4 linked regions of the Drosophila melanogaster genome follow. The protein of the gene in region 1 interacts with the protein of each later gene in a pairwise test. Each region holds a gene or a part of one and is shown on either strand. Other genes may lie near its edges. The genes, in order: CG10086, CG10918, cg and kibra.

The links.
Region 2: the proteins of CG10086 (region 1) and CG10918 interact in a two-hybrid assay, tested with the Drosophila melanogaster proteins (one large-scale study listed by BioGRID).
Region 3: the proteins of CG10086 (region 1) and cg interact in a two-hybrid assay, tested with the Drosophila melanogaster proteins (one large-scale study listed by BioGRID).
Region 4: the proteins of CG10086 (region 1) and kibra interact in a two-hybrid assay, tested with the Drosophila melanogaster proteins (one large-scale study listed by BioGRID).

What each region holds. Positions count from the first base shown.
Region 1 is NT_033777.3:7,787,605-7,796,360, reverse strand, and holds CG10086 (uncharacterized protein), read right to left. Parts: upstream 5,729-8,756; 5' UTR 5,635-5,728; coding exon 5,520-5,634; intron 4,691-5,519; coding exon 3,641-4,690; intron 3,483-3,640; coding exon 3,238-3,482; 3' UTR 2,878-3,237; downstream 1-2,877. Other genes in the region: CG2641 (uncharacterized protein), read right to left, coding at 1-113, 213-768, 1,142-1,491, 2,041-2,152; CG18746 (uncharacterized protein), read left to right, coding at 6,254-6,365, 6,481-6,630, 6,694-6,902, 7,053-7,647, 7,739-7,989; CG18748 (uncharacterized protein), read left to right, coding at 8,518-8,632, 8,694-8,756.
Region 2 is NC_004354.4:21,426,851-21,433,548, forward strand, and holds CG10918 (uncharacterized protein), read right to left. Parts: upstream 2,407-6,698; 5' UTR 2,394-2,406; coding exon 1,842-2,393; 3' UTR 1,764-1,841; downstream 1-1,763. Other genes in the region: DIP-beta (Dpr-interacting protein beta), read right to left, coding at 4,748-4,876, 5,111-5,303.
Region 3 is NT_033778.4:14,169,805-14,178,581, forward strand, and holds the start of cg (combgap), read left to right. Parts: upstream 1-3,888; 5' UTR 3,889-4,642; coding exon 4,643-4,768; intron 4,769-6,601; coding exon 6,602-6,738; intron 6,739-6,807; coding exon 6,808-6,887; intron 6,888-7,370; coding exon 7,371-7,673; intron 7,674-8,020; coding exon of another isoform or gene 8,021-8,056; coding exon 8,057-8,217; intron 8,218-8,293; coding exon 8,294-8,396; coding exon of another isoform or gene 8,397-8,399; intron 8,400-8,467; coding exon 8,468-8,777. Other genes in the region: CG18324 (uncharacterized protein), read left to right, coding at 1-305; ReepB (receptor expression enhancing protein B), read left to right, coding at 777-918, 2,486-2,718, 2,780-2,879, 2,943-3,004; mRpS16 (mitochondrial ribosomal protein S16), read right to left, coding at 3,227-3,499, 3,565-3,681.
Region 4 is NT_033777.3:14,720,010-14,728,471, reverse strand, and holds the start of kibra (kibra), read left to right. Parts: upstream 1-4,210; 5' UTR 4,211-4,898; coding exon 4,899-5,161; intron 5,162-8,462. Other genes in the region: CG7530 (uncharacterized protein), read left to right, coding at 1,145-1,282, 2,325-2,432, 2,542-3,015, 3,083-3,313. UniProt on the Drosophila melanogaster protein: Regulator of the Hippo/SWH (Sav/Wts/Hpo) signaling pathway, a signaling pathway that plays a pivotal role in organ size control and tumor suppression by restricting proliferation and promoting apoptosis.

The sequences.
Region 1 (8,756 bases):
GTTGGTGTACATGGGGTAACGCGGAATAAAGTCATCCGTGCGATTGTGCTCATCCTGATCGATGTCGATGAACCTTTCACCAAAGTTTGTGGCCTCCTCGAAGGTTGGTGGCTCTAAAAACATGAATAGTATAAGAATTATACAATGATCAAGCACCTTTAAGCATTTACAAATTCAAATGAAGAGTATCTATGATTTCGCTATATACTTACTGCACTTGTCATAACTGGGAGGCAGATCTGCGGCGGCTCCGGCAGGAGTGTCCGGCGTTTCCGGTATCCACTGTGCTGCACTGGCTGGATTCTCGGCACTTTGGATCAATGGTATGGTGCCAATTACAATCGGCACCTCAAAGTCCGAGTCCACGTGGCAGTCGCCAGTGCTGATCGTGAGGATAACTTGGTAACTAACCGAAATGATGCCTTCGGTGCGGGAAGAGGGCGGTACTGCTGGAATAGCCAGGGTTCCTTCAATTTTTTTCTTTGAGAGCCTCAAAACGCGCTCCTGCTGGCAACTTTTGTTGAGGCTGTGCTCCTTTTCGCGAGTTTTGTGGTGCGGCGTTTGAGCCTGGAATTTGTAAATCTGCTTAAGTTTCAGTTCGATCCCATTCAGATCATAGCCACTCGACTGGTTGTCAATCTCCAGAGTAAAGCGTATCTTCTGACCAGGCGCGTAACCACCGAAGGGTATTGTTAATGTCGATAGAACCGGGCCTGAACTGCAGGGCCAACAGCAAAAGTGCTTGATGTCCTCTCGGACTAGGGGCATCTGTCGAAAAAGAGTGTGCATTTATTAGTTCCTAGGAATAACTAATATTACCTAATTACTCTTATTGATATAATTTTAAAGTTTAATTAACATTTTTTTGTTTACATTTCTACAGGTTAGGATCGTAAAAAATTTATTTTTAATTTATTTAAATTTTTTATTTAGTCCCATAGCTTTGGTTTGAATGAACACACCCCTTGTTTGTTTAATAACTTCGGAATTTACGTCCATAAGGCACGCAATGTTTCTATACTTGAATGACTCGTCTAATTGTCCTTAAATATCTGTCGCAGGACAATTTAAAACTGCATTGATTTACTACCGATTAGTGCAATCTAAACTTTTAGTAAACTGTTCCTGTCCTTGGACTCACCAGCAATTGGGGGCTCATGTTGAGGTTGTAGGTCTGTATGACCGTCAGTGGCTGCTTGAAGACGTTGTTGAAGCGCCACTGGCGATCGATGACCACGGAGACCTCGTAGAAGATTTTTCCGTACTGGGCCACCACTGATGAGGGGCATTCCAGGGGCAGTGGAATGCAGAAGTTGTAGGTGTGCGTACCTGGCGGCAGATTCCCGGATCCAAAGACCGATGTCCGGGTGTACAAGTACTGCTGCTTGCCTCGGAAATACTCCGTGTAGTGCTCGGTCTTTCCACCTCTCGTCCTTGTTCGCCGCTCATCCCATCGCACCTTTGCCTCGCCCTCGAAAAGAATGTATACCTCTAATCAGAAAGTGAAAAGAGAGAGAGTGATATTTGAATATGGTTTGTATCCGAAAACGAATCTTTATATGTTGAACGTATGTGAAAGCCTTCTTCGGACTCCGAAGGAGTTGCTGTAAGTGCAGAATGAGATTACGCCAATCAAAAATGGAACTGAACATGGAAATTGATACAGAGCACTGTATCAAATACTTGTTTGCTTGTATACATACTTTTGTTATCTTTTGTAAAGCTTTCAAGTTTGTTTTTAGAATTGGCTATTTGAAAAACGCAAAAATTGATCAATGAATTTGTAGTTAGGGGCGAACTGAGCTCATCAGGGCATGCAATTTAGGATACTAGGAATTAAACATTTGAGACAATTAAAGCCACATAAATGGTCGCTAAAATCCTTCTTATATAAGAAGCAAAACACTTTATGGCGCTACAACAAACTTGTTTGTTTGCTGCATTCTATAAAACCGGCTTGGTGTTATCACAGAGTCAACAGTGATTACGCTCAAATTAAAAACATATCAGTCCATTCGCTTTTTAACGACTAAAACTCACCGTTCACAGACTTTTCGGATGTTGTTGTCAGAATGGCCCTTCCATTGACCGTCTCACCACTGTAGTAAATGGGTTCGCGGCGATCGAGCTCAAAAGAGCAGCTGGAAGGCATTTTGGAAATGCAATCTATTATTTAGTATGTGGGTGCTGGCACATATATTTCGAAATTCCAGATCTTATTCACTGGCGACGCGCAACGTGAATTTATTTAGCACCAGACAAGCGTCGCACCCGAAGTGAGAATTTAGAATGAGAATAGCCGGTCTGCAACAGCTGGGATGTCAGTGACATCATCACTTGGCGAGAGCCAAAGCTTTTCTGGTGAGCGAGCTTTTGGGGCTTCCGCTCACTAAAAAAAAAAAACAAAATTGAGAGGCATCGGATTTTGATAAACGGTTCTCTTTTTTGTTTGTTTTGTTACGAAGAATAAGGCAACAACAAATCTAAAAATTTGTAAACAAAAATCAGGTGGGTTCTGTGAAAGCTCTAGTTTAGTTGAGTTGTTATTATCGCGTTGTTATTATTTTTTGGACGAAATACGGTGAAAAAGAATCACATCAAGTTAAGTCGTCTATGGACTTAAGTCTGTGATAGTTGATTACGTTTGTTAATGATGATTTGTACTCATTTACAAACGCGCAAAAGTCCAAGAAGTTCCTGATTTTCTATCGTGGTGCGTAGCAACCAAAGGGTATCTTGACAGTCGAGAGAATGTTTGATCAGTATTAAGGCGATAAATGCATGTCCGTTTCTATGCTATATATTCTATATAATTCGGAATGGGCCGGATCAGATACCTGTTACTCAGATAGAGAGGAAGTTATACATTTTTTTTTTGCATTTTAATGGAAATTGTCAAGCAATAGAATTAGAAATTGGGAGCATGTATGCGTAAATCAAAATTTCTAGCTCTCATAAGTATTTAAACTCACGGACTGAGCTAGAAGTCCTCCACTCAATTTAATTTATAAATGAATAAATAAATTTGTAGTTCAATGCCTTCATGGACTTGGTTGTCTAGGCTATAGTCGCAATTTATCGCGTATCACCCAGTAGACACTTTTATATTCTGGGTTGTTTATCATTCCGATATACATACATATATAGTAAACATTTTGGTAAGTACACTGGCGAACCGTAAAAGAAATAAATACTGCCGAGATAAGATATAGTCGTGATTTTTCGCGATAACTGCCCTCAGATCTGCACGGGTGACTCCACTGGTTGTTTCTCCGGTTGTTGCTTCGACTGTCCAGGATCGGCAGGACGTCTGCGTCGGCGGCGCCTTTTCTTCTGGGGAGGATTTGGCGGCGGGCTCTGGAAGGTGTCCACATCGAAGACCGGATAGCGTGGAGTAAATCGGGAGGCCTCGCTGACCGTGTTCGCGTCCGTGTCCGCAATATCAGTGGTCATGAACATGGCCTGCTCGTAGGTAGGAGGAGCTATAGAAAAAATGACATAAAAAATATGGAGAATGAAGAATGAAACTATCGCCTCACAATAGCATAACAAAAATATAAAGAACATATACATAAGGGCTCTATTTAACATCTTTCATAACAAAGTCCTAGCTAGAAATATTTTGTTCTCTTGTACTCACGTAAATCTGGTACGAAATCGTCGGCGGCCTCCAACTCATCATCTCCATCCTCTGGAAGCTCGAAGTCCTCTAGATCCTCGGCCATCTCGTAGCCGGAGTTGCTGACCCCGCTTGCGGCCATCTGAGCCAGTTCCATGGCCCTTGTAGAGGTGCATGGCAAGTCGGCAGGCAGCGAACTTCCAGATGGGAAGGCGTTAGTTGGCAGGAAGTCCGGTCCGGACACCGCAGTTGCCAGGGGCACGTTGCCAATAGTCACAGGGATTATGAGCCGGGGATTAGCCATAAGCCAGTTCATAACAGCCACCACACGCACTTCGTAAGATACGCGCACCACCTTGCTTAGGTGCTCGCAGGTGGGCGCCGTTGCCGGAATCCTCAGGGTTTCCGTGTAAGTCCTCTGCGCATTATGAGCCACCGGACCGCACTCGCGCTTCACCAGCATTATCTTCTCGGATGTGGTGCGTAGCGAGGGCGTATCCGCCGTGTATGTGGCTCTCAAATGCAGCATGATCAGTAGCTTCCGACAATCGGAGCTGGAGTCATTACGCACATGGGCGTGGATCAACATGAACTGACCCGGAACATAGCCCTGCTGCTGGAGAGTGACCTTCAACTGCACGGGCTTCGTGTGCATCAGGCAAAAGTGTTCCACGGCTTCATTGCTCGCCGGTTCCCGGAGCATCTTGGTCTCCTGGTTCAAGTCCAGCAGCTTTAGCACAGTGAAGCCCACGTTGTGGGTGCGATTGGAAGCTCCTGGCTTCAAAAAGGTGACCTTGGCCAGATACCGGATGTGTCCATAGGCACCCTCGAAGGACGAGGGGCAGTGGCTGGGAATGGGGCAAGCAAAAGTGTAGGTGTACGTGCCGGCGTCCATGTTAAAGTTGCTGCCCTGCTCGGAACCCATGAGGTAAGTGGTGGAGGCTATATAGTCCTCCCGCCCGCTGTACTGGTGCTTTGATCGCTTCTTGGGGTTTTGGATTGCCACCGCCTTACCATGTCTGCGGATGCGCCACTGGGCTTGCGCATAGCCACTTATTTGCAGTTTTATTCCTAAAAGACAAGAAATATTAGAATATGTAGATCTTCAATAACATGACTTCTTAACAGAGAAATATGAGATGTGCTGACTAACATTTATAATATTTCCATAATAATACTATAATATAGGCTATAATATAGACAAAGAAATCAGTACCTTAATAAAAAAGTTAAAAAAAAATACAACGGGCTTCCTAATAAAACTAGCTCACTTTGTTTATCTCTTTGGGTTACCTCATAAGGTAGGGGTAATATTAGGATAAGATAAAACAAAAGCGAGAAGCACTGAAAGACATTTCCAAAAACAGTTAATAAAAGCGTCTTAGGGGCATTTTAAATTTAACTAATACGGAAACTGTTGACGCACACTATAAAATTATTCAAATTGTTTAAATATTTGATTTGGGCTGCAAGCACGCAGATGCAAAATGGAAATGAAATAACTTAAAGACAAAAATTAACCTTTTTTTTTTTAAATAGAAGTAGAAAACATATATTTCGAAGAATCAACAAAACTTGTTGTCCATATCACTGCAAAGCCCAGACGAAAACCGTGAGTAAGTTCCCTGGTATTTCCTCGAAAGAAAATATAATTCGTTGGGTAGATCCCCAACTATAAGTAAGGTTGTTATCGCTCCCCTTCGGCTCCAGGAATCATCAATTATCGCACATTTGGAGTGTCCGCATAGTTATCACTTAATTACCCATTTCAATGGTTTGTTGAATCTTTTGCTTTTGCCAAACCTGACATTATCCGAAGCGATAAGATACGCCGCGCTCGATAAGCGAAAGCCCCCACTAGTTTCCGTACTGTTGGGGTATCCTAGTTGGTCTTACTTACCTCGCAGTTTCTTGGTCTTGTTCAGATTGACAATCACCTTGCCGGTTATCACCTGGCCGGTGAAGTAGGTGCCGTGCTCATTCTGGTCGAACGTTATCATGCAGTTCTTCGACATGTTGGCGAATAGGTAATGGGCTTATGCCTCTCCAGAGCTTTTAGATTTGCGAGCGATCCTAACGCGCCCGCTGCTAAACACGAACTGGGCCAACTGTATTGCTAACATGGCCTGGACTCTCATTTTCAGTTTTACCGTCGGCTGGCATTATCTTATCGGCTCAACTCAGTACAAAACCCACTGCAATATTTGTCTATCTGGATAGTTGGCAACGCGGCCAGTTGAGAGAAATTCCTTCATTAATTTATTAACAACTTATGCGATAAATCAGGGACTCCATTATCCTCTATTTCTTTATTGGTACAACGCCCTATCATCGCTATCTCAACCTTGGGAAAACTGGCCCTCATCGATCAGTTCTGCCTGCCAATTTCGTACTTCTCAAATTGCTGTCACTTACATATGTAAATACTCCGATAGCAATGGTAAAAATTTGTGTTTAAATACTGAGATACCTATCGCATTGATAAGATAAAATAAAAATGTTGGCCAAATAAATGCTGCACAAAAAATAAAATAAAAATAGCCGCAGCGGGTGACTTCAGTTTGTTGGGAGCCACGACACAGACAGGGCAAAAGTTAAACAGCTCCCGGATTATCATACAAATTATTCCGCACAATGGTAATCTGTGAGATTGAGTTCTGCAATAATTCCCAAGGAATTTTTTATGCAGGCCAGTTGATTTCAGGACAGGTGGTCATTAAAACTGAGAAGGAAAAGTCAGTGAAAGGTAAGGCGCTGATTCATTTTGCTCTACTCAAAACAAACGTTACTTGCTAAAAGACTTAATTGATTTGAAGTGCAAGTGTTGCAGGGGCTTAAAATAGCTTTTATTTTTACTTCAGCTGTAATCCTTAACATCAAGGGATATGCCGAAACCCACTGGGCGGATACCGAACACGATCCGGATGATCAGTCGAATGGTGAATCATTCAACGGACATGTGGACTACTTGGCCACTAGGGCTTATCTGCACGGGTCTAGTTCCAGCATAGGTATGTTCGAAGATGATAAATCACCATAAATCTAGAGATAATGAAATCAAAGCTCCATTTCAGAGGTGCTTATTGAGCCTGGCACCAGCTCGTATAGATTCGCCTGTCAGTTGCCCATCACATGTCCCTCTTCTTTCGAGGGGACACTAGGTCGGATACGTTATCTGGTGAACGTGAGGTTCGTGCGTCCGTGGAAGTTCGATCTGAACTTTAATCGATGCTTCACTGTGATCAAAGTGATGGACCTGAACTCCGAAAGCCTAATGCTGAGGGTATGTTTCTTAGTCTCTCCACACACTATGGAATAGTCCACTGTACCATGTGTTGTACCAAAGACATTAGAATAATGTCTAATTCTAGTGTCTTTGGTTGTACCATGGTCAAGTATAAAATTTTATATTTTTATATTTTATAAATTTTAGGTACCTAGTCAAGTGGAGTCCCAGCGAACTTTCTGCTGTTTTCCCTGCCGCTCGTCGCCACTCAGTATGCGACTTTCTGTTCCACAGAGTGGCTTTGTGCCAGGACAGATCGTGCCGGTGGAGGTGATGGTCTCCAATGACAGTGGTGTAGCCGTGGAGGACATAACCGTAAAACTGACTATGGTGGTGATTTACTACAGTCAACCCCCGTCCGCGGACACCAACAAGGACCGTTTTGAGATGGTCCTGAAAACAGGCGGAGGTGTGTCGACCAAATGCCGGCAGCAGTTTACCTTCGATCTTAAGGTGCCGCCAACTCCGCCAACCTGCTTTAATCTATGCAGCATCATTCAGATCGGCTATCAGGTGGAAGCGGAGGCCAGAGTTAAAGGTTGTCATGGCGGCCAGTCCCTTCACATGCCCATAACTATTGGAAGTGTCCCGCTAACGAAGCAACTCCAAAAAGAACCAAGGACTTGGGGTGAAGTTCTGCCACCCCAGCAGCTAGATGCGAAGGCTTTGATTTTAATTGGCAGCGAACAGAATGGAGAAGCACTCGGAAGCCCCAATCCTTGGGCTGCGGATCCTTCAATTGGTGAGTAAAATAGGAGCTTTAAGGAAATTCATACAAAACTCCATATTCGAATTTAAAGATCATAATTCAAGGAATCACTTATTTATTTTAGCACCGCCGAGTTATGCTGAGGCTAAACACATCTCCCCGGATCCGCACAAGTTCTCGAAATCGAAGAAAAAGTCTCAGAAAAGAGGTGTAAAAGGATCACAAGAGAGGAAAGCTGAAACAATTGTGTTTTCACCCTTATACGCAGTCTTTGATTTGTCAAACCAAGTGGACGAAATGACTTTGAGAGCAAATGAACCCAAGACTGATGGCGGCTATGTCAATGAAGGTGTAGAAAAAAGCACTTGGCTTTAGAAGGGCTTAAAAATGAATGTACCCACTCTGTAAATAATTAATAAGTAATCGAAATACAACAGACATGACAATTACCCTGTGGTTGAACGCAAACTGCGGGAACTTTTCGTCGACCTCAGTGAGCAATATTTGCTGAGTTGTGCGATATCTTATCGATGAGTTAATATATTTATTTGAGTGAAATTGCTATCTTCAGATGCGAGAGCCTCAACTCATTTGGGGGCACTTGTTTTTACACCACAAATATAAGTATCAGCTGTTTTTGGACCTGATAATTCAGTTCTCATGTTAGCTGGTTACGAATGATCTATTTATTGTATAAAAAAATTGTAGGGGGTTTTTGGGTTTACCAATAAATAGATTTATGGGTGTACTGATAAGATAAATTACCAAAAGCTCTCCGTTGCACAAAATAAGTGGTAAGAAACTTTTTAGTTCAGTTTGATTGCGGCAATTGAAGGGAAAACATCTTAACAATTAACGACAGACTTAAATTCATTAAAACTTGTGCTTTAACCATAAAAAACCATGGGAATAATTTGCCAAATTCTTTTTCACAACAACACGCAAGGGGTTTTTTACGCGGGCCAAATGGTTGCTGGTCAAGTGACTCTGAGCACTGATAAGGCGATTCAAATCAAAGGTAAGTACTCAGTTGTGATTGCGATACTTCATATAATTCTCGCAACATTTTACATATTAAGCAATTCGACTTAAGCTAAAAGGTTATGCAGAGACCCATTGGACCGAAAGCAAGACTGATTCGA
Region 2 (6,698 bases), on another chromosome or scaffold:
TGTCCTCCGCCCTAAACCCTCAACTCGTAACCCACAACGTTGCCCCCGCGGACTAGAGCGGCAATTAAGCTGGCCGCCACCAGGGAGCAAAGTCAAACTTCAAACCCTTTGTCTGACTCCGGATTCCCGATTCCAGCTGTGATTTTTATTTTTTTTTTTCGCTGTCGGTTAATGGCAGCAACGCCAACAACAACTGATACGATTTTAATTGAAAATGAATTATTTTGTTGTTAGAGTGGAAGTCAGCAATCCTGGCCAGCAATCAGGACCAGCAGCAGGACCACGAGCCTGCAGCAGCAGCAGCGCAGCAGCAGCATCATCCATCGTTTTCGCCCAGTGGTCAGTCAGTGGCAAATAAAACGAGCAAGCCATATTGCTAGTTTCTTTTCGGATTTTCCTATTTTCCACTCCCTACTAGGAATACAGTCACTTATCCGGCTGGGCTGGGAATTGGCTTTTCTTGTCGAAGGAGTGATGACCCCAGAACGGTTTAATGATTCCTCCACTAAAGCATCTTTCGTTTAAACTCTTGTATTTGCTTCAGCGATTTGTAAGATTTTTATTCAGAAACTATTACGCAATAGAAGAGCTCAATCTATCTATTCAAAATCATAAGTTTTCGGGATCTAAAGCTTAAAGTTAGATATTGAGAAACTATTACGCAATAGAAGAGCTCAATCTATCTATTCAAAATCATAAGTTTTCGGGATCTAAAGCTTAAAGTTAGATATTGAGAGAATATATAGCACTTGTGTTTGGGAAACAGCAGGGTGTAATTTTGTAAGAAAAGGGTTTCAAGGCCTTTAAAGCGACGAATTAATTGTTTTACACTTGCTTTGCTTCGAATAGAGCATTTTTAGTTCGCCAAGGACGTGCCATTAATTCATTGGGCTTGCCCTTTGGAGCTTTTCCATGTTGTCCGTGTCGTGTTGAGTTTGTTTTTTTTTTTTTTTTTGTTCTTTTCGGAATTTTTTGCAAGTTGATTTTTTGCGTTCTTTTCGTGTCTTTTTTTTCGAGCTTCTGGCCCCTCGCCCTTGCCTTTGACGTTGTCTTGAAGCCGCCCCAGGGAGCGCAGACGGAAAAGCGAAGGACCAAAGTACCGCAGGCCAGAGCCACTGACCATCATTGTTTTTTGGCTTTTCAACTTTGCTCCCACGTTCACCCACTGCACAGCGCTCTCGCCTCGAGCTGCATTCGAGCGTTCATTATTGGTCAATTTATTGGATTTGGACATTCCGCACTCTCAGCCCTCTTCTATATGGCGTCCGGATTTTCGGTCCCTACTCCTACTAGGTTCCCCGCACGTTTGTGCCCGTGCCCCCGTTCGTTGCACCACCCCTTTGGACTCGAAATGGTGCAGCATATGTCATGTGGTGTTCTCAGCGGTGTCGGGTGTTTCCTATTATGTCCAATTCTCGCTTAGCCTACCACTTATTGAAAATTCAATTTGCCCTAATAGAGCTATTCGGCAGGCAGCTGCCAAAATTAAATTATCAAAATAACTAGCCTTCATGCTGTTTACTTTATGATAACAAATGATGATATTTCATTAATCAGATGATTGATTTGCCTGTCGATATCGAAGAAATAACAGAAACGATAATTCTCTTAAGAGACAGCTTTCAATCTCATATGCTAATCGAGATATTTTTTGGTGCGAATCAAAGGTCTTAATACGAACGGACATTGCTGAATAGATTCGGCTAGTCTGTAAGACTAATATGACTGTATATGACTAATATATTCCAAGTTAATGAAATTAAGTTTCAATGTGCCAATTAGATTTTATTTTCATACATTTCCCAGAAAGTTTTCAATACGCTGCAATTGAGACTCAGAATCTATCCCGAACCAGTAGTGCTCTCCGTGGAGCTGCTATCAGTGGAGCTATCGGTGGAGCTATCGGTAGAGCTATCGGTGGAGCTATCGGTGGAGCTATCGGTGGAGCTATCAGTGGAGCTGGCAGAGGAGCTGCTGTCGGTGGAGCTGGAGGAGCTGCTAGTTGTGCTGCTGGTGTCGGCCAAGGAACTCTCCGTTGTCGTCCACCAAGGTCTTGGGCGACGAGGACGTGGACGTGGGCCCCAACCGCCAGGACCGCCGAATCCACCATTGAAGCTTCCGGGACCGCCAAAGCGGCCGGGACCTCCGAATCCTCCACCACCGCCAAGTCCTCCAGGCCCTCCAAAGCGACCAGGTCCGCCGAAGCCACCGGGGCCACCAGTACCACCAGGACCACCGCGACCGCCGAAGCCACCGCCTCCACGTCCTCCGAATCCTCCAAGACTTCGGCCACCGCCTCCGCCGCCACCGCGTCCACCACGTCTTCCGCCTCCCCCTTGGGCCACGACAACTGCCACCAGGGCCAGCAGGGTAATTGCAATGTAGGCACGCATTGTGGGACTTTTGCTCCAATAGCAACTGATTTGAGTTATGTACGTGTAGCCCCTTTTATACCCAAAAATTCGGTGTCGAATTCATCCATCAGCCTTTTTGCTAAGAATCCCCCGTGACGGCAGCATTGGCTGTGTGCTTAGCTGGATACTCCGAAGAATGGAAAATAGAGCGAAGAACTCCCTGAAGAGCTGAGCTCGAATTCTTCGCATCTAATAATCCGTGTGTTTCTCTTGTTTCATTCGTCGTGTGGCAACAGCTGGTCGATGTTTGAATTAGTTCCATTGTTCTATTCTTCTATTTTAATACAACCGTTTGAGTTTAAAAAAAAGTGCTGTGTCAGAGAGGGAAGTTTACAGAAATTTACGCAGTATCCTCACAATGAAACAAAAAACAATCATAACGTTAGCCAAATACTAAGACGAATTGTAAATTTGCTTAGAAGAAAATGAATGTCTATTTGAAGGTTTATAACCCTACTGCAAATTTTTGTTTATTTACTTTGTTTATTTGTTGTCAACAACTGGGTTACTTATTCTAATAGCACTCGTTTAAAAGTTCTCTTAAAATCTATGACTCAGTCGGAAAAATTATATTTTTTGTTCATTTTTTCATTTACATATTTATACCTGTTACTTGCTGAGTAAAGGGGTATACTAGAGTCGTAGAAGCGTATGCAACGGGTATCTGTTAGTCGGTTTACTCGACTATAGCATTGTTTTATACTCCAGCATCGAAAGTTGAATTTTCTCATGCTTTATTAAAAGTTAGGAACTATGTAAATTCATTAGTTTTTAAGGCCTTTCAATTGGTAACACTTATTCGCAGAAATAAGTCAATTGATTTGTAAATACACATGCTTAGCCTTCATTTGCGCCATTTATTTATGTCTAAAATCTATCTATATCAACTGCCAAGTAATAAACATATATTTCTTATATTAATAAAAAAATATGTATAGAAGATCGAACATCTTAGAGTGAATGTGGATTAAGTTCCTGAAAAGTAAAGCTCTGAACAGCTTTTCTGACTTTCCCAATTCGAGAGTTGCGGATGTCGAGGAAGAGAAATCTTTAACATTAGTGCTAATACATGGCAAACGACCTCGAGGAGCCACTTAATTTTCTGATTAGAATCAATCAGGGCGTCGAGTGAAATGTGCGGCTGAGACAAGGACACCTAGTTGGGCGGCGGGAGTGGGTGGCGTTTAAGAATCGCGAATATAGAATGGCGTTTCCCGCTTTCCGCACATATGGGGATTTTTAAATTGAAATTTCGAGGACCGGAAGGTGGGTGACTTCGTTTGGAGTAAAATGAAAATGAAATGACAAAGAAAAAGAAAAAGAAATTTGCGGCTTAGATAAAAAAAAAAAAAATATAAATGAAAATTAATTTTTGCGTCAAAAGTAAGTACATATGTGTGTGTGTGGCTGAAGAAACTGACGCCACATATTCACGACCGTGTCAATATAATTTTCGGATACAATCTTTTGGGTTTTCAGAGAAGCTGGTGGTTCTAGGTATTCTTCGCTGTCCCTCTTCTGCTTTCCCCTACGGCTTTCCTTCATTTTCCCGTACTTTTCCCCTTTTTCCGCCTTTTTTTCTGCGTTCTCCCAATTCCTCTTGCTTTTGCGCTTGCCCAATTGTCGTCGTTTGAACTTTTGCCCCTTTTGGAAATTTCATTAACTTTGATGCGGGAAGGTAAAACAGTTACAGGGGGGGTTTTTTAAGAGGTCTTAAAGGGGGTTTTTTTATGTGGGCAGACAGAGGGATAGTGCAGAACTGCAGAACCTTAACAATTACCACTTCACATGACACACAAACTCGCCAACTCACACAACTTTAAAGTTTTACTGCAGAAACGTGACGTTGCGTTACCCCAAGAAACACTTCACACCCGCCACCCCCCCACCCGTTTTCCATATTTCCCGTTCCCCTTTCCCCATATTCGTAGGGAAAAATGCCCTTTGACCCAACATCCACAAGTTTGGCGCCCTAATGCATTTGGAAAGTTTGTCGGCCACGTGAAGGAAGCTGCCGGATATCGAAACGGAAACACTTGCAGTTGCCGCCGCTGCGTTATTGCTGCGGTTCTGTTCCTGTTCCTGTTCCTCTTCCGCTTCCGGTTATAGTTCTGCCACATACATACGACTCCGATACGGAACAGCCCCCTTCTGGAACAAGCACAGCACAGCACATCCGAACGGGGCTATATGTTACCATTATGATTATTATGCGGCATTAGCTGCCTTCGACTGCCATAAATCAGTCCATTTTCTTGGCCAACGGCTGCAGGTGGCGCTACCCATTTATCATGTATCATATATGGATAGTTATATACTGTAGTGGTACTCACAGTGCACCTGTAGCTTCATCCGCTTGCTCACCGTCGGTGGCACTCCGTTGGAGGCAATGCACATGTAGGCGCCCATTTCCGATCGCGTGATCTTCGACAGCGTCAGCATTTCGCCCTCCACCGATTGTGCTGTGGGTGAGGAAATGAGTATTGTGGTATAGGGGTGAGTACATAACAATATGTGGTGGTTGCTTTAAAATGGGCTCCATATGTTTAAATTATTGTGTAAATGTGTAGTTCGGTTCGTCTGCAGTTGGCTTTAAATATTTGTATTGTTAATCAGGCAGGAAGCATACAAATTTTTTATTTTTAAATGCAATAATTCAGTTTTGCAAGTCCGTGAGTAGGATGCATTGCACTTACCTTTTGTTTTCTGGTGTGAGCCGTTGCGGGCAATAATCTCCCTGCCATCTTCGCGTCGCCACGTGATCTTCGGCTTCGGATGACCACGTGCTCGGCAAACGAGCTTGGCGGATCCGCCCTCTGGGACCATCATGTCCCCGGAGGTCTCTTCGTTTATAATGTCCGGTGGGATGACCACTTCCAAGGTGGCCGTCTGCAAGCGAAAACATTTCGGATACACATTAAATTCGCCATAAGGTTCGCTTATTCGACCTGTTATATATATTACGCATACGCCCAGTGAACCATACAGCCATACAGCAAGGTATATATATATATATATATATATATTAGTTCTTTTAAAAGACTTTAAAGTTTTTTCCTTTAATACAGAACTTAATGATTTCGAATCAGTATTTACTAAGCTGTTTTTTTAAATAATTTCTTGCCCCAATTTTTCGATATAATTTGTTTTTTTAATCGAGTTTAAAATATGTACATTTGAATCAATGTTCAACGCTTCATGCAATTGAAGGTGCCACTAATGTTAGCCCTTTTAATAAGTATTAGTCAACATTTTAGCTGCACTCAACGGCAAATAGCCGTCTCATTATAGAGCGCAATGTCCCATGCCCAATGTTTTTTTTTCCCCTTTTTTGCCTTTTTTAACATTTGTTTCATTCTGCGGTTGCTGGCTGCTAGCAACAATAACCGAATTGCTGCTATCATTGTCGTTGTCAGTTGACAGTTGTGTCATAAAATAAAGTTGACGTCACTGGGAAAAAGGAGAGGCTGGCTGGCAGCAAAAAAGGGAAAACCCCAAACGAGCCAAGCGCGAAATTTATACGGCGGCAGTGGGTAAAAAATGCTGGAAAGCAGGACGGCATGCGAGAAAGCTGGAGAAATGTCAAGCCTGTTTGCGTTTTATTTGTCTCATATTTGCTTTTCACTCAATTCGCTTTGTTAGGTTGATTTTATTACAAAGGGGGAGACGGGGAGTGGGAAGTGGGAAGTGGCGGCCGGGATTGGGTGGTACCGCCACCCACCCACGTTTCCCTCATCGCCATCTTTGCAGCATAAATGAAATGAAATTGAAAACGCAATCGTTTTCCACATGTCGCTTAATGGCGGGATGGTGCTGCACAAAAAAAAAAAACTCTATTCAACTCGACTCGACTTGCCTCGACTCGAGTAACACCAAACGTCAGATGAAAACGACGCGCACACATAGGAAAATTCCCCCGCAAAATTCCAGAGGACCCCCCGCAAACACACACACACACACACACACACACAAGCGCTCTTTGGTGACGTCAACATTGCAGCGGCGCTGTGTTTGTTATTTATTTTTGTCATTAAAGCGCTTCATTGTTTATATATCGTGTTTAAATGTCACCCCGCACAGACACAAAGAAGTGGGAAAAAATAGAAGGAGGCCAGGATATATGCACCATACACACGCGCACACACACACACACACACTCCATACACGCACACACCAGCACAAGCGAAGGACCAAGAGGGATCTCCAACATTCTCGGAATAATTTCATTATACCCTACTCTCTTAGGAATTTTTTTGCGCCGGCCTTCGGAGAGGCAACTGAAAG
Region 3 (8,777 bases), on another chromosome or scaffold:
TTCTCCTCTCCTTCTGTGCCGGCCTATCGTCGGGAACCCTTGTGGCAGTGGCCAATTCGCCCTTTGATGTGCTCACCACACGGATGTACAACCAGCCAGTGGATGAAAAGGGGCGTGGACTCATGTACAAGGGCTTGGTGGACTGTTTCACTAAAATCTGGAGAACCGAAGGGATCCATGGGATGTACAAGGGCTTTTGGCCCATATACTTTCGTAGTGCTCCACACACCACCTTGACATTTGTGTTTTTTGAAAAGTTGCTCCATTTGCGAGATCGTTATGTTTTCTCCCAGCGCAGAAACTGAAGAGTCCAGTCCTCATGGAGCCAACTAGATTACTGTAAATCCTCGCATACAATTGTTAAGTCCCACGATGTGACAATCCTAAAATTTATAATTTTATAAATAATAAAATTGTTCATCAAAAATGATCCCATGAGTTTACCATTGAATGCACGTCAACTGCTATAAGTTTTTTTTCTTATGTAATTTGCTGCATAACATATTTACCTTTCTAATAAAAGCTTAAAATAATTATTTGCTGTTTGCAAATATTTACTGTGAAAAAGAAAAAGCCGCCAGTATTGCAATTTTAGTATGACCTCTCCTTATCGATAGGCGGCGATAGATGCGAACAATAACGCATCATGTCTTCGATTGTCAATAGTCCATTTGGCACCGATAGGCGCAAGCACAAACTATCGACTGGCATCTGGAAAGTCGGCGGCGTCACATATTTTTGATTGACTATATATATTTAAAAACAATTTGCGCAAAATGGCCACTCAGGTGAAGCAGTTCTTAAACGGCTACAAGGATGACGTGAGCAAATCGCTGCGCGATGCTTCCAAGCCGTGGACCAAAGTCTTCGATACCGTGGAGGAGAAGACCGGCGTGGACCGGGTCAATATTTTCGTGGGTGAGTGTGGAATATCCTGGCGACGTCATCGCATGTCCTTCGCCGAAACGCCCATGTAACCTTCTGCTAGTTGACTGCGTAACCATTGAGATTAGCCTAGAGATGCAGTGGAATATTTCGGGATGCTTATAAATAGCAACCTGTTATATATAGCAATGTGTATGTGGCTGAATCAGGATGGTCGGGGGGGCTTAATAGCCGCCAGGTGACCAATTAACGAATTAAACAGACGACTTAAACGGCAAAGCCCAATTAAATAGTGTGTCTATATTATCACCGAGTGCCTGCAACCAATACACCTCAGTTTGTGAGCATGCGATGTGTGCGTGTAAGCGACTACGTAGACAGCTGGCGATGTGTGCGTCTGTTATCCACAAAAGTTTCATGTTTTGTGCTTTTCTTTGTTTACTTCAACGAAAGTACACTTTTTTTTGCCCAGTACGCGGTGAGCAATACATTTGGCGCATTCCATTGCCATATTCTCTAGACGAAGATCTGGAGAAAGTCCAGTTCGGCGGGGTCAAAAGGTCTGAATTATTGAGACGTGGCGCTGTCGGCACACGTGGAGCCAATCTACTCACTCACCTGTGTGCGTTGGTAGAGCTTTCAGTTCGTTCGTTCGGTGCTCACCGGAGTTACCGATGTGGCTCTGGGACTATATTATGCTAATCAGACAGCGACAGGAGACGCGGCGCAATGTCAGAGTTCCCTTGGTTTACCTCGGCATAGGTGAGAATGTGGTCATAATGGCAAAAGTAGCTATCTTTCAAAACCGAAGTCTATATACACTTGCAAAAATGACGGACGTTGATTCATCATACAAACATTTGGCCTCATTAGCTGTTCAACAGTTCGGCATACTTTAATAATCAAAACAAATTGTGTAAACAAATATATGCATATTAGGGAACAACCATTTATGGAGAATTCGCAATTCACATCAAATGATCTGATCGACTAAGGATATAGTTTCTGTGGCTTGTAATGAAACCCACCTTTTTGCAATGATGTTGCTCAAATTAAAGTACCCTCAGCCAGGGTATAAATATAATTAGCCGCCATCGAGCATGAATGACATCATAAATTTATGGCAAAACAACAGGCCGTAGTCCGCTCATCTGGGTGGGCAAAATGCAACTGGCCGGGATCAGAGGCAGGTCGAGACATCTACTGACAACAGCTAAGGGTTTATAATTAGCCAACGGCATGGGGCGGTTTAAAAACCCCAGGGATCCACGAAGGGGCGCCCTTGAAAGCTGTACGAGCACCTGGCACTGTGCCCTTGGAACAGTTAGTCTTGTAGCTAAAGTTTGTAAGTGTTAACTCCATCTGATCACCCTGCGCCCTGTGGAACCGCTCCTGCCCTTGGACCTGCTTATAGCCATAAGGGAAAATGCGCCACTAGGGCAATATCAATTGACCAACTAGATGGCGAACATGGCAGTCGAGGAATTAGAGAGCAAAATTGTCCAACTGTTCGTAGAGAACCCCCTCCTGCGCTACGGTAGAGCTCCAGCAGTGACTTAATGCTATTTACTAATAAGGTATTATATTTCATCATATGTAGGTGCTGTTGGTCTGTGCGCCATCTACCTGATCTTTGGCTGGGGCGCCCAACTACTGTGCAACATCATTGGGGTTCTGTACCCTGCATATATTTCCATCCATGCCATCGAGTCCAGCACAAAGCAGGACGACACCAAGTGGCTGATCTACTGGGTCACGTTTGGAATCTTCACCGTGATTGAATTCTTTTCGAGTCTGCTAACTTCGGTGATTCCCTTTTACTGGCTGCTGAAGGTGAGCTTTGCATTCTTCACATATAAGAATCTTCTTTTAAATGCTTCAACTCCACATGTAGTGTGCTTTCCTCATCTGGTGCATGCTGCCCACGGAACAGAATGGTTCTACCATCATCTACAACAAGCTGGTGCGACCCTACTTCCTGAAACATCACGAATGTGAGTAAATTCACCTCTTAGATATTGCAATTTTACTAAAAGGAGATCAATATTTGCACACAGCCGTTGACAGGATCATCGATGATGGCATGAAGAAAGCCGCTGGAGTGCTGAAGCATGACTAGAAGGCGAATGTACCGTAGCTCCGACCGCTTCTCGCTTATCCATGCATTTGGTTTTGGGCCTGGTCACCAACCTCACCTCGTATTGGTTACGTTTTGCAATAAATTTTAATTCTGTATTCATTTTGTTGTTGATAAGAGCACCAGTGTTCGCTGAACCAGAAGAAATCTCCGTTTGTTAAACGTAAAAACGAAAAGGAGGCTTTTATTGAGGCACAACTATATTTATGCGGTTGATTCCGCCTTTTCTGGCGACGCCTCCGCTTCAGCAGCTGTCCTCCGGTTCCGCCAGGCGGTCATGTAGGTGCGCGGGTGGATGGGCAGTAGTCCGGCAATTCCCAGGAGTTCTGCAGCCGGCGTGGACAAGTGTGCACCTTTGCCCAGCCAATAGCGAATTCTCTCCGTGTTCAGGGCCACCAGTCGTTCGTTGTAATCGTTGGGCAGGGGATCAAAGGAGCCCACCTGCTCGATGACAGGCTGGTGCTGGTTCTTGCGCCTCTAAACCGGAAAATACAATTACCAATTAAAAGTTTTAACCATTTTAATGGCCTAAAAGTACGCACCTCCATGACGACAATGTGATAAAAAGGCCGATTGGTGCATCCCAGGCGTACGAAACGTATGATTTTTGCCGACTTGGCGTAGAAACGACCAATGCCACTGGCTGGCGATAGAGACATCCCGATATTTTATATATCTAATACAAGTTTTGGCATAAAATAAGGATTCTTCAATCAGAAAATGTGAATTGTTATGCAAAGCATGACCGTTGAGGGAAAATTTAACAATACCAAGCGATTGGGTCACACTATTAGTTAGCCCTAACAGCGTTGCCACCTCCGACCGCCCATGTTAGACAGTTGCGGCACCTCGACAACCCTGGCCTGCGCACACACAAGATGGCGTCAGAGAACGAGAAGCACGAACACTAAGGAATTTGTTCAGTGGTGTCTGTGTCTGTGAATTATATTGAAGGAAAAAGAGTGTTTTGTTTATAAATTTAATTGCAAAAACTGCACATCGTCACACGGGGCGCGTGCACACACATCGGCGCACACGCACACCCACGCCAAGGCGACACCTAAACGCAAAACGGAGAGTGTGTGTTATCAATGGAGTGTGTGTTCCCCAACGCCAAGTGAATTTTTTTCGTTGAGACCGAGGGACGGAAAAAAATGGCGCCCGCAGCCAGAGCAACTTGACTTTCTTTTCGGTCCTATATAGTTAGTAGTTGCTTGCCCCCGTCTCGTCGTCGGCGAGCGAATTCGGTGATTTTATTTCGATTTCGTCGCAGTGCGATATCCCCAACGAAGAAAACATAACGAATAATTGATGAAAAAGTGCTTGAGAGAGACCCCCCCAAACGTATTCGAATTTGTTGTGTACATTTTGGCTTCGAACACAGCCGCAAAAATACCATTACCAATTTCCACTTACTACTACTAGAGAGGAGGATAGTATTTTGTACGTGCTTTAGAATACATACATACATACCTACATATACCACAAGCAAGCGAGAAGTGCAATTACATTTGCGTTTGGAAATTTTGCGCTTTTTTCTCTTCCGTCCTCCCATCCAAAAAAAAAAACCCCCCGCTCCCCCTCTCTCTCTATCTTTCTCAACCCGCATTGTGCTAAATAATGTGTGCCGCCCAGAATCCGCCGCCCTTCGGCTATACCTGGGGTTTTGCGGACAACGGCAACCGCGCCGCCGAATCGGTACTGGAGATATCGCCCAACATCAACTATACAGTCAGCGGGGAGTCGGTGAGTCCAAAGTTATAGCTCTATTAAACTGATAAACCCGTTGAAAGCTGCCAGTCTGAGGATATTTCCCCCCTGTTGCCGACATTGCTCCAGGTGCGTGCGTGTGTGGGTGTTGGTGCTGCTGTTGCTGTTGCTTTCCCACACCGAATTGTGTTGTGGCCCACCAATGCATACACACAAACGCACACACGCACTGCGTTACACTCGCTCACGGACTCGCTCGTCTCACCAACACTCGCTGCTTTCGGCAACGAACTGTGTATGTATACGGCCCGAATGGCATTCACGTATACGGTATACGTGGAAAACGAGCGACAGCAACTGCGATATACATACTTACGTACATGTACAACGTATATATGCATACGCCACACGCTTTATGTAACTGCGTTGTCATGCGAATATACGAATATGTACGAATGAACGTACGTATGTATGTTTTTATGGGGGGGATGGAGCGAGTGTATTAGAATTCTTTTAGCATACATCCATACGGATTTTTTTCGTTTCCATTTCATTCGTAAACATTCATAATTTGGTATTTGTAAAACGAATGCGTACACAATTGGCTCTGTGTGCGGAGAAATTCCCAAAATACAACACGCGCACCTGGCGAGCAAGTAAATAAATAAATAGCAATAAATTCCCCCCACAGGCAAATCGGAGCAGTTAATTAGCGGGAAGGTCGTGAAATTTTCAAAAGTCTGGCAGCTGGTACAGGCAATCGATGCTAATCGATATTTTTCTAGGCTATTCATGCATATATCGCTAACCTAATTTAAGTTCTATTAATAATTATTGCTTATCCATAGGTTTTTTTGTTGTTTGTTTCTTTTTTTTTGAGAGCAATATTTTTTGTTGTGCAATTGACAGGAGAAATTGTGTTTGTTGTTTTTTAGTTTATATTTGCGGGCACTTATACAATGGCAAACGCGGCGAATTCGCCGCACTTGCGCGCCCGATATCTCCGCATGTGTGCGTCAGTGCCGAATTCGCCGCGCTTGCTGCCCTCTGTATGTGTGTGTATGTATGTATGCACGCACACTCGACCAGAAATGACGTGTGCTCCCCAGTGTGCGTTTGGTGTCGTGCGTGTGTTTTGATTACTTTTGCCGCACCATTTTGGCGCCCATCACACACACTCCCATGCCACGATGTCCAATTGCACTCACACACATACAGAGTGAAAAAGGCGCGCTTTTTGCGAACATCCCCTCCCGCTCTTAGCGCCCAACTTCCCCCCTCGTTCGTCGTCTATCATCTGTTGCCGCACTGCTGGCTGCGCAGGTGTAGCGTGGTTATTGGCGGTTATTATCAATCAGAGCGAAAACAAAAGACAAGCACTTGGCCAATAGAAGCATCAACCGCCAACAACTCCAAATCACAGCCTGCAGATCTTAGCGAGTGGCGACTGTACTTGCTGCCAAGTTTTAATTTCCCAAAAAAAAAAAGGTTCATGAAGGTCAATTCATTCATAAGTTTGAGCTGAACAATAAAACTGCTACAAGTTTACTTCCTCTCATTTGTTTAAATCGTTTTTGGGACATTAAAATTGTAGAAATGACTAGGGGCAATGTACATAGATTAAAAATTATTTATTATTCTTTTATATAAAAGAGCCTTTGTTGTTTGATATGTAACATTTCTTGAATGAAAGATAGATTTATAAAAAAAATGTGTAAGCCAGGCTTTCCTAAAATCGCAATTCCCAGGACCACGTGTAAACTAAACATGCAACTCCTACAACATAAGCATTATTAAGTTTATTTAGAAATTAGGACAAACCTTTAATTTATCCCCATTAGCCATGAGTACTAAAAGTCTTTGTTCCAGATGCCCTATCTACTATCGACGGATGGATCATTGGCAGTTCAAAAGGATGTCAAAGGCCTTACAGCTGGCGGCAAAAATAATGTCGTTCGTCGTATGTTCGTCGTAAACGATCCTTCATTTCCGCCTGGAACACAAAGGTGCGTTGGCGCTCCAGCAGCCCAAAGAGATCCCCAATGTACATATACCTAATTCTCAATCCCTTGCAGAGTTATCACTGCCGGCGGAGCATCGACGGTGGTCAAGAAGCAGGACAACAATCAGCAGGTCCTGAGCCTCGACAAGAACTGTAAGTGGATCGATTCTAAACGAATCAAAAACCCATCGAATCGATTCAGTGTTGCACGCATTGCTGTTACTGTGTTGTGATTATCTATATATTTTGGGTTTTCTGTTAATCGATTGTTTTTCTCTCTCTACTCCCGTTTATTTATTTAATTAATTTATTTTTTTTTTTAATTCTCGCTCGATCTCGCTCGCCCTTGAATTCAACCCGAAAAACCGAACCCGAAACCGAAACCCAAAATCCACCATCTCCTCCGATAAATCCCATTGTGCTTGTGTGTTTGCCCGATTTTGCTATTGCACCCGATCCACCACCGACCCACCGATCATCTCGTTAACTGCACCGCATAAAAACTACAACATTACCATCTCACCATATAATAACACACACACAACACCTCATCACTTGGCGGGCGGCGGGCGCGGGCTGATCGAACCTTCCTTCAACCGAAATGAAACGTATCAACCCATCGAATTGAAAAAACAGATCTGCTAGTGGATCCGGCCACGGCCGCAGCAGCTGCAGCCGCCGCTGGTGGGGATTCGGGTCTCGCCCACCACCATACGTTGACCAATGGCAGCATTGTTGATGCGAAGACCGGACAGACGGTGCTAACCGCCGGATCTGCGGCGGCCAAGTCGCACTTCAGCTCGATCGGAGCACTGCATCTTACGCAAGAGGAGTGCAACGAGATCCTGATCAAGCGCGCCATCGCTGCCGGCCACCATCAGACGCACACGATCACCGCTGCCGACGGATCCCATCACCATGCGTCCGGCGGGACACCAAGTAAGCATCTCAAATCTGTGTTTGTTACCCCTGATCCAGTCCCTCCTGCCACCTACTCCTCCACACACTACACACTACAATCAGATCTGATCCCCGATTGAAGTAATCCTACCGGAAAATACCCGGCATATTGGTACATTCTCGGTTCCGGTTGCTTTTACCTGGTTGCGTGGTTACGTTGTAATCATAGTTTTTGCCATTGTTTAGTTGGTCTAACATTGTTTTAAGTTTGATTAACCCAATTGAACCCAAATAGTTTGATTTTGCATATTCAGTTTGTTCGGATCTTTGATTTTTTTCCTTTGTTTCTTCTCTATTTTTTTGTATCTTCCTTTGAATTCCATTTGGCTTTTGTTCCGTTGGCGGTGCAACAACACTCTTAGGTGACATACTTCCTGGTATTTCAGTTCAAGTGCAGAAAGTCATACAAGGACTGGAGGATAACGAGGACTCGCAAGGCGAAGCACCCAACCTAAAGTTGGAGCCAGGCACATTAGAGTTGTCCCCGAAGACCGAACTACAGGAATCAATGCATTTCAGCGAAGTAAGCCAATCTCTTTGGACGAAGTTCAACTGAATTATTAGTGTGATATACTAATGGGTTATCTGTTTATTTTTAGACGGACGCCACCATCAAGAAGGAACGCCCGTACAGTTGCGACGAGTGCGGCAAGTCCTTTCTGCTCAAGCACCATTTGACAACCCACGCACGCGTGCACACAGGTGGTTGTTCTTGTTCCTGGCAGAATACCCGAAACATTTGAGCAGGTCTAATCATTCCGTTTGCCCCACAGGTGAACGCCCCCACATCTGCACCCATTGCGGCAAGAGCTTCGCGCACAAGCACTGTCTCAACACTCACCTGCTGCTTCACTCCACGGAGAGACCTTATCAGTGCCAGGAGTGCAAGAAGAGCTTCACCCTCAAGCACCATCTGCTGACCCATTCGCGGGTCCATAGCCGGGAGCGACCATTCGTCTGCCAGGAGTGTGGACGCGCATTTCCGCTTAAGCGACACCTGGTCACGCACAGCAAGTTCCACGCCGGCGAACGACCATATGTATGCGAGGAATGTGGTGAGAGCTTTGCGCAGGAAAACCACCT
Region 4 (8,462 bases), 6.9 Mb from region 1:
ATAACTTTTAGTTCCTTAATTATTAAAATTAAAACAATCAATATTATAATAGTACATTTCTTGTCTTAACGAATGTCTTTAAGTTAAATAGCGGTTCATTTTCATTTCATAAACATATTTTTATGTTTCTAAATTATTGAAAAATTTCTATATATTTTTTGCCTAAATTTACTATAAATCCACACGTTCCTGAGTGTCAAATAAATATTTAATAATGACGACAGAGTAAACCACAAAGCACTTACTAGTAACATTGTTTACAAATAGGTAGCGAAAGCTATTTAGCCTTTTAGTGACTATTAGATCATGAGTAAATTTTAAAAATTGATAAATGTAGCTAAGTTTTGACATCATGGATTTTTAATTAGCATTTAAGTAACTACGAAATTGTTGCTTGTACAAAAGAATTAGGATTGGGAATTCAATTGTTCCTGTATTTCGTTTTAATGAGCGGTTATATTTAATTTGTATTGAAAAATGCATATATTTTTATACTTACTGCTGCATTTATGGGCACGACGCTTACTGCACATGATTTTCCTTTAAAGCGGAATGCAAAAAAAACAATGCAAATTGTAAACAAAACGTCATCACGTTGGATAAGATACTTTTGCTTAGGCACTTGCACTTGCCCTCCCACACTTGTTGTTGTTGTTGTTGTTTGTTGTTATGCATTAGATTTAGAAGCTGTATAAACAAATTAGAGTCAAGCCCCCTTTCTCAATTTTTGCTGCAGTTTGCTGGAGGCACTAATAGTAGCGATGTTTTGATTGCATTTTTGCAATGCTGGTTAGTCGGTTGGTTGGTTGGTTGGTTGTTTACACACGAAACCGAAAACCCCCAGACGAAAACAACAACAACAACAACAACGTATAAAATAGCAGAAACCGCAGAAAAGATAATAATAAAATAAAAGCAAACAAATCAATTTTTCGACTGCAGTTGCTCTATTGGCTAAAAATATACACAAATGTGCAGAGAAACAAACCCGCCAGTTGCCAACGTCAGTTTTCTAAGGCGGAAGAATATGAGTATAGATCTTGAGCATCGTTCTTGTCCTCAATTCAAATTAAGTTTCGAATTGCCGCTAATCGATAGGGTTTCCTCCATTTTAACTAATTCCATCTTAAATCTCTTTTCGCAGCTTGATGGCCAACTGGTTGCGGATTCGGTGGACGCAGCGCATCAATTTCCGTCCAATGAGGAGCCCAATATTCTGGGGCATGGACCCAACTACGACGACAAGCTGTCCAAATTCAAATGGCTGTGCAATTTCGATGATGTGAGTTAACCCCACGCGCGAACTTTGGTAGGGTCAATTTGTCGCCAATTGTCGCGCACTGAATTCTAATTGATCGCAAATTTTGTTTGGCGAATTGAAAAAATACGTCAGAATCAGGGACAAATCGCAGAAAATATTCACTCATTGCATTTTACATGGCTTTAACACTGATTTTGGCCAATTGTTATCGTCATACGTATGTATGTATGGCCAGAAAAGCATTATTAAGCGACCGTTGTAAAATGGCCAAAACGCTTAAATATGTGAAATCCGCCATGGCGGTCGAGTTGGCAGCAATTGCCAAATAATACAATTAGACAACGAACAAACCCACCAAATGCCAACTGAATCAAGGTCGCGACTAGCAACAAATAAAAAGCTCTGTGCTTCGCGGGCATTAAATATTTAAATAGCGGTGGCAAATAAAAAGAAGCTACTGTTGTTTTCTTTGGGTGGTATGCAAGTTACATACATATATGTTTGTGAAAATCCTCAAGGTAACTCCCGAATCGAATTTCTTGGGTTTTTCGGACCATGCTTAGTTTTGACCAAGTTAAATATTCGACTTCGAACTGGGCTTAAAACGGGCTTGAAATAATTACTGTTTCCGATTGAAAGGCATTAATTAAGGTAATAATACATAAATGCAGTGCAAAACTAGCTTAGCACTTGTTTAACTAATTAAATGGATTTTTTATAATATATAAAACTTAGCTAGTTAAATTCAAAGAAAGTAAATAATATACACAGTATTTGGCATTTAATCAATTCCCATACAAGATTGCTAACAACACAAATTGGATTAATTAGTTTTATTTTCTTTCAATTGAAGCAAATGGAAAGCTTTTTGGTTTTTTTTTTTTACATTCGGCGGGGTGCCAGATCCTCGAATTATTCCGTTTGTTTCTATTTTATTTTGTCATTTTGTCTATTTGGTTTTTATTTTATTTTCAATGCTACACGCATGCGATTTGCATGTCTTATCGGCTTGGAAAATTTTGTATTTATTTGGAATGTTTATTCACTTGTGCTTTCGATACAGGCCCCCAGTCACCTGAAGTTCAACCCGTACATTCGTCGCGGATACCGCACCTTTCTACCTTCCACAAAAATGTGCCTGCAGAGCATTTTCTGGTGGACCAATGAGACGGTAAGATTGCCACACTAGAATGATACTCCATTCCAATTGGAGCTACAATAGTTTTCCTTAAACTCTATTCCCTATTATTATAACATTATTATTGCTATATTTTTCATAGATCAACATCTGGAGCCATCTGGCCGGTTGCATCCTGTTCATTGGACTGACCATCTTCGATCTGCAGTTCCTGCGCCTCCACGCCTCCCTGAGCGACCAGGTGCTGGTGGTCTGCCTGCTGGTCTGCTTCTGTCTGTGCATGCTGATGTCCGCCATATACCACATCTTCTCCTGCAAATCGGAGGAGCACTACGAGCTCTTTCTGTCCGTTGACTTCCTGGGCATTTCGCTGTCGCTGGTGGCCATCTATATCAGTGGCATGTACTATGCCTTCTGGTGCCACACCTTCCTGCGCACCCTGTACTCCACGATTGCACTGGGCATGTTCGCACTGGCCATTGCCGTGCAGATACCCCGTTTGAATGTGTCCATGAACGGCAAGGTGGCGGTGCTGCTACTCTGGTCTGCCTATGGAATCATACCTCTGGGCCACTGGGCGGTGGCCATGGGCGGTCTGGAGAACGAGCTAGTCAGGGTAGGCATCAGTTGGAAATTTATGGAATCTTGTCATTTGCTAATCCATCAATCATTACCATTTGCAGCTGATGGTGCCCCGCATCGTGCTCATGTACTTGCTCTGCCTCGTCGCCTTCGTTTTCTATGCGGCCAAGATTCCGGAGCGCTGGTTCACCGGCAAGGTGGACTTCGTTGGGCATTCGCACAACTGGTGGCACCTGATCATCGTGGCCGCCTTCTATCACTGGCACAACACCGGACTGGTCTATGCCGAGTATCGCCTGAATAACGGATGCACTGCACCAGTTCTCTCCTAGAACTTGAAGATCCGAACATCTGAGTTAAGATCCGAAGATCCGAGGAGCGGAGATGGAATCCGGGACTCTAGTAGACTAAAGCTTAGTGTAAATAGTTTATGGGGCGCTCTTTATCCGCTAATAACTAATATTTAGTTGTAGTTGTTGACCGATATGATTAATTTATGTTTAATTTACCAATTAGTTAGGGTTTCGTGTTAGACAATCCAGATCCAGATAGTTGGCATCGCATAAGCGGCAAAAAGGTTTCTCTCTTTATATCCTAATTGATTTCCTTTAATATATACAATTAAACAATGTCAATGAAATTGCATGTGTCTTGAGCTGAAGCTGTGTTAGTCTTGTTGACTCAATTTTTACAATTCATAAAATGCAAATACAATATCAAACGTACAAAGCAAGCGAAATTGTGGTTTTATTGAAGTTATGTTTCGGAAACATAATTTATTTTTCTATCTATGGTTGGGATACATATTGATTTCGAAATGCGTAACTCAGTTTACAGTCTTTTTTTTTAAATTTTTTCTTTTTCTGTTTTTAAAATGTAACGGAAATGTTAGGATTAAGATAACAGTAATTGTTAACAGAGCGAGTTAACATGATCTATCGGAACTGGCTTTGATTAACATCGCTTGAAGAACCGAACTAGTTCCTGTTACCAAGCCGATCTTTGAACGTACAACTCCTATTTTCTTCCCTCAACAATTACACCTATGCTTGGGGACTACACAAGCCAAATAACAATAAATACTTTTCGTGCATGATTGTTAAATATCGCATCTCTGCAACCGCGTCAATACAGCCTATAATATCGATATCAACCAATACATCGAATAACATCGCCGCGAGTGTATCGATATGCAATGCGATGTTTTCTGCTACACCACTAGCAGCGAATGTTACCAAAACAAATTCCGAATCCGAATCGGACGGTCATCAAGCGCGCTACTCGTGTTTTTTGCTGCTCCCCCAAGGAATTCCGGAACCGAAGAGATCGGCGACGGCGCGAACTCACTAAACTGAAGTACATATTTTTTTGTGAACACCAAGTGGATGGTTGGATTATCGTCGTTAATTAGTTTCAATTAGGCGAAAATAAGAAAATAAGTAAAGGAGTTCAAACGCTTGCAACAACAAGAAATGAAAAGAAGCAGCACCAACTGTGAGCAGTGATCGTGTGCGCTTGTGTTCGTCCCCCATATGTGTGCGTGTGTTTGAGCTGGAATGGAATGCAGTTACGAAAAAAGTAAATAAATAATTGAGAGCGCGCCCGCGCTCTCCCGCTCTCTCTCCCCTGCGCGCGTGTGTATTCGAGTTGGCTCGGTGTGTGCCTCTACGCCCGTCACCGTGTGGCCGTGTTGTGTGTGTGTGTGTGCGGGTCGGTCTCCATTATCGCCGGAGCAAAAGAAACGGAATTGAAATGTCTTTGCTAATGTAAACAGCGCAAAGAGAAACCCCCCGAAAAAAGAAGCAAACGTAGATAGCAATAGCGAAAAGAAAGAAAAGGCGCGCGTCGGGTGAAAAATCCAGCAACAACGACGTTTTCTCAGACTAACCAAAGTACACGGCGAGAAACAAAGTTAAAATGCCGAATCTGCAACAAACCGCATCGCAATCGCAGCATCATCTGCATCCCCACCACCTGCGACCCCAACAGCAGCAACAGCAACATCATCATCATCATCAACAACAGCAACAACAACAACACACGCATCATCAGCAGCAGCAACAACACCACAGCGACTTCCCACTTCCCGATGGCTGGGATATCGCCAAGGATTTCGATGGCAAGACCTATTACATAGATCATATCAACAAGAAGACCACCTGGCTGGATCCCAGAGATTGGTAAGTGTTCCGGAAAGGGTCAATTAAAGAAACGAAATTGAAACAAGGGCGATCTGAAATATAATTATAAGATATTTGCATTTGGAAAGTTAGTTTAAACTTATTAAAACTACTAGAACAATTATCAGAAATGAGGCATACATAACGAATGACCAAACCAACAGGTTGTGTTTTAAATAAGTTATAGATGCTTTAACATCGCAAACTATCAAGAGTGCTTATAAACCCCAATTGCTGCTTAATGGCTAATAAGTGAAGCAGATAACTCATTGAGAATCAAATTAAAATAGAATAAAATTCTTGGCAAGTTGTTAGTGGCTTAAGAAGGCATAAAACGCAGGTGAGAGATCAGCAGTTCACTCATTCAGGAAGCTCCGGCAAACGAGCTAAAAAAAAAACCCATATAAATTCCGATTCCGAAGCGCTCTTGAACCGGAAAGAAAAGGTGCGTGCTGCAGCTGTGTGTGTAAAGGAATGCGATCGGTGGAGGCGAAATGAAGCAAAAAAAAAAAAGAAAAATAAAAGGAAAATAAAATAAAGAGGCAGCAGCAAAATAAATTACATATTTTAAACAAGACAGCAGCGGCAGCAGGCAAAACAAAACGCAACGGAACGGGGGAAAAACTTGGAGTAAACATTCCGATGCGATGATTAAGACTCCGAATATAACTGAACTGAACAGAGAGTGGCAACAAACAAAAAATGGATTGTAAAGCCAGGGAAATACAACAACAAAAATTCGAGTGAGAGAGAGCAAAAGTTAAATAAAGCTCGGCGAATGATCTGTAAAATAAAAGGAAAACAAAACCAACAAACTCATACGTAATGAGTGCGAGAGAGCCAAAGGAGAGCGAGCGAGAGCGCTGGCGATCAGGCCATGTATCTCATAGATACATTTTAGTTTGCCGTTCGCTCACATTTTTTGTCTTCCATCTCGCTCGCGCCCCTCGCTGCCGCCCCACTCGCCATCTCTGTCTGTTGCTTTGCCCATAAACAATTGCAAAATGTACGTAGGAATTTTTGCAGTTTCGAAATAATTGATTTCTGAAATTCTTCGCCCTCTCTTTCGCTGAGTTCAATTTTTCGCTTTTCACAGATAGAGAAATGTGTAGTGTTAGATGGATTTTGTATCTTCAATTGCTCGATAGCAAATGCTTATTGCCTTTCTGCAGTTGTACAGCATTTTCATTGACATTAGACACACTCTATAATTTCAATATCACGTTGCAAATGATTTATTAAGCCATCAAAGCTTGAATATTAATTTTTTCCAGTGCATTTCTATCTGTGTACGCCTTATTGTTTCAGTTCGTTTGGTGCTGTGTGCGCTTCACGCTTTCAATTAACACAAACATTCCCTTTGTTTGTTTCAAATCGCATGGACATTGTTGAAAATGTTTCACTGAATTAAGCGTTGTGGAATTTCAGCTCTTCCGCCCGCCCGCCTTTGAAATTGAAACGAAACATCTGCGCATTTGCTAGGGTTATGCATCAAGTAGATTATAAATGCACACATGTCGTTCAAATGTCTGCCAGTGGGCACAAAAAGTCAGCGATCTATGAGCGTTACGTTCCGATTTCGGGGTTATAGAAATTTAAAGCTTAAATGACCTTAGGGGATTTACTTACTATTTGAAAAACCAATCAGATTATGAAGAGGGATACCATAGAATATAAGAAATAAAAACAAGAGTAAATGTTTTATTGGTATTTTCTGTATACATCTGCAAAGTATGTCTTCGAATTTAACTAACTATTCCATATTTTTCCAAAATAGTTTTACCATTTCTATTGACCAAACAAAACTATTTAATGCTGTATACACCCCTTATTGGTATTTTGCCCAGTCGCGCATATTTTGTATCCAAATCATATACGCTTTTTGGTCCCCTCTTCGGCTGTCTATCGATCCCCCGCATCCAACTTGCTATTGCTATTGAATTTTCAAAATTGCTGCCGGTAGCGCGCAAAAATTCCAATAAACCATAAATAAATTTCTACAATAAAGCGAAGCGAGCCAGGCCTCGGGCAACCTTTAAAGGCCTCGCCACGTTTCGAGCACAGCCAACAGAAATCACAGAAAAAATAAATATCTATTCCAATATGAGCATGCAAGGTCGAATTATCGATACCCTTGAAATATTTTACCGATAATTGCTTGGGCCGGCTTTGACGCAGGTTTTTCTAAGGTTTTCTAAAATTAAATAAACATGTTTGCAATAGTTTAACAGTAGATTCTGTTTGTAATGTCTATAATTTTCAAATTCGGCTTAAGTTTAGGCATTATCCTCATTAGATAGTAAATCGTGTAAGATTCAATCAATTAATTAGATGACTTTTGTCTGTAAACTAATAAAATGACTGATCAAAATAATGGATTTTAAAATTCGCAGCGTATTCAACTTAAGTAAATGTTCATACAGCATTTCGACGGGCGGTATTTTTTGTGATTTTCGTTGCTGTTGGCTCTCTTTTGTTTTTTGTATAAACAAAAGTTAACAACGACTTGACTTGGCCATGCGATTTGGCATTTTTTCGACGCCCGTCTTCTTCTTTCGTTGCTCATATTTTTTCGCAAGTTTTTGTGTATTATTTTTTTTACCAATTGTTTAGCCATAAACAAGGCGGCGACATAGTGGAATATTTTTCGTGTGCGTTTTTAGACAGAAAACGTGTTTGGTGACAGTATTTCGATCTATTCATAGGAGCTACAAAAAAAAGAAATAACCAAAAAAGCACGGGGAAAAAATCAAAGTATGAAATAGCAACAAAATCGTTTGGCTACCAGTTGGGATAGTGATTCGAACTCGTTTGTTTTACATAAACTCAAATCGCCGCCAAAAAGGCCTAGCGAAAGCGGTTAACGATCGCTGTCATAAGTCGGACAGAGTGGCGCCAGCGGCGGGGGCTGTACTTGAGTATCTGCATCCGATCGGTAGCACAGAAAAAGATATAAAAAAGCAATAGGTGCACCGCAAGAAACGGTGCAACGGTATTCTAATAAATGAGTCAGTTCATTGGTATATCTTACTACATTAACTTAACCTTATCATCAGTATGTTGCCATATTTCTCGCTGTGTACTCTAGTCCCAACCAGATTGTTGCGTTCTAATTCCACCTGTGGCATTTTAATTCGAGAGCGGACAATCGAGCGGTTGGTTCGATTTCGATGGATCGCCGGATGGCCGGATTGCTGGATTGCTGGATTGCTGGATCGGCCAATTGCATAAAGAACGCAAATCGGGCGATCGAAACAAGAGCTGCAAAATAGGGGAGAGGCGTGAATGCGTGTGCTGCCAG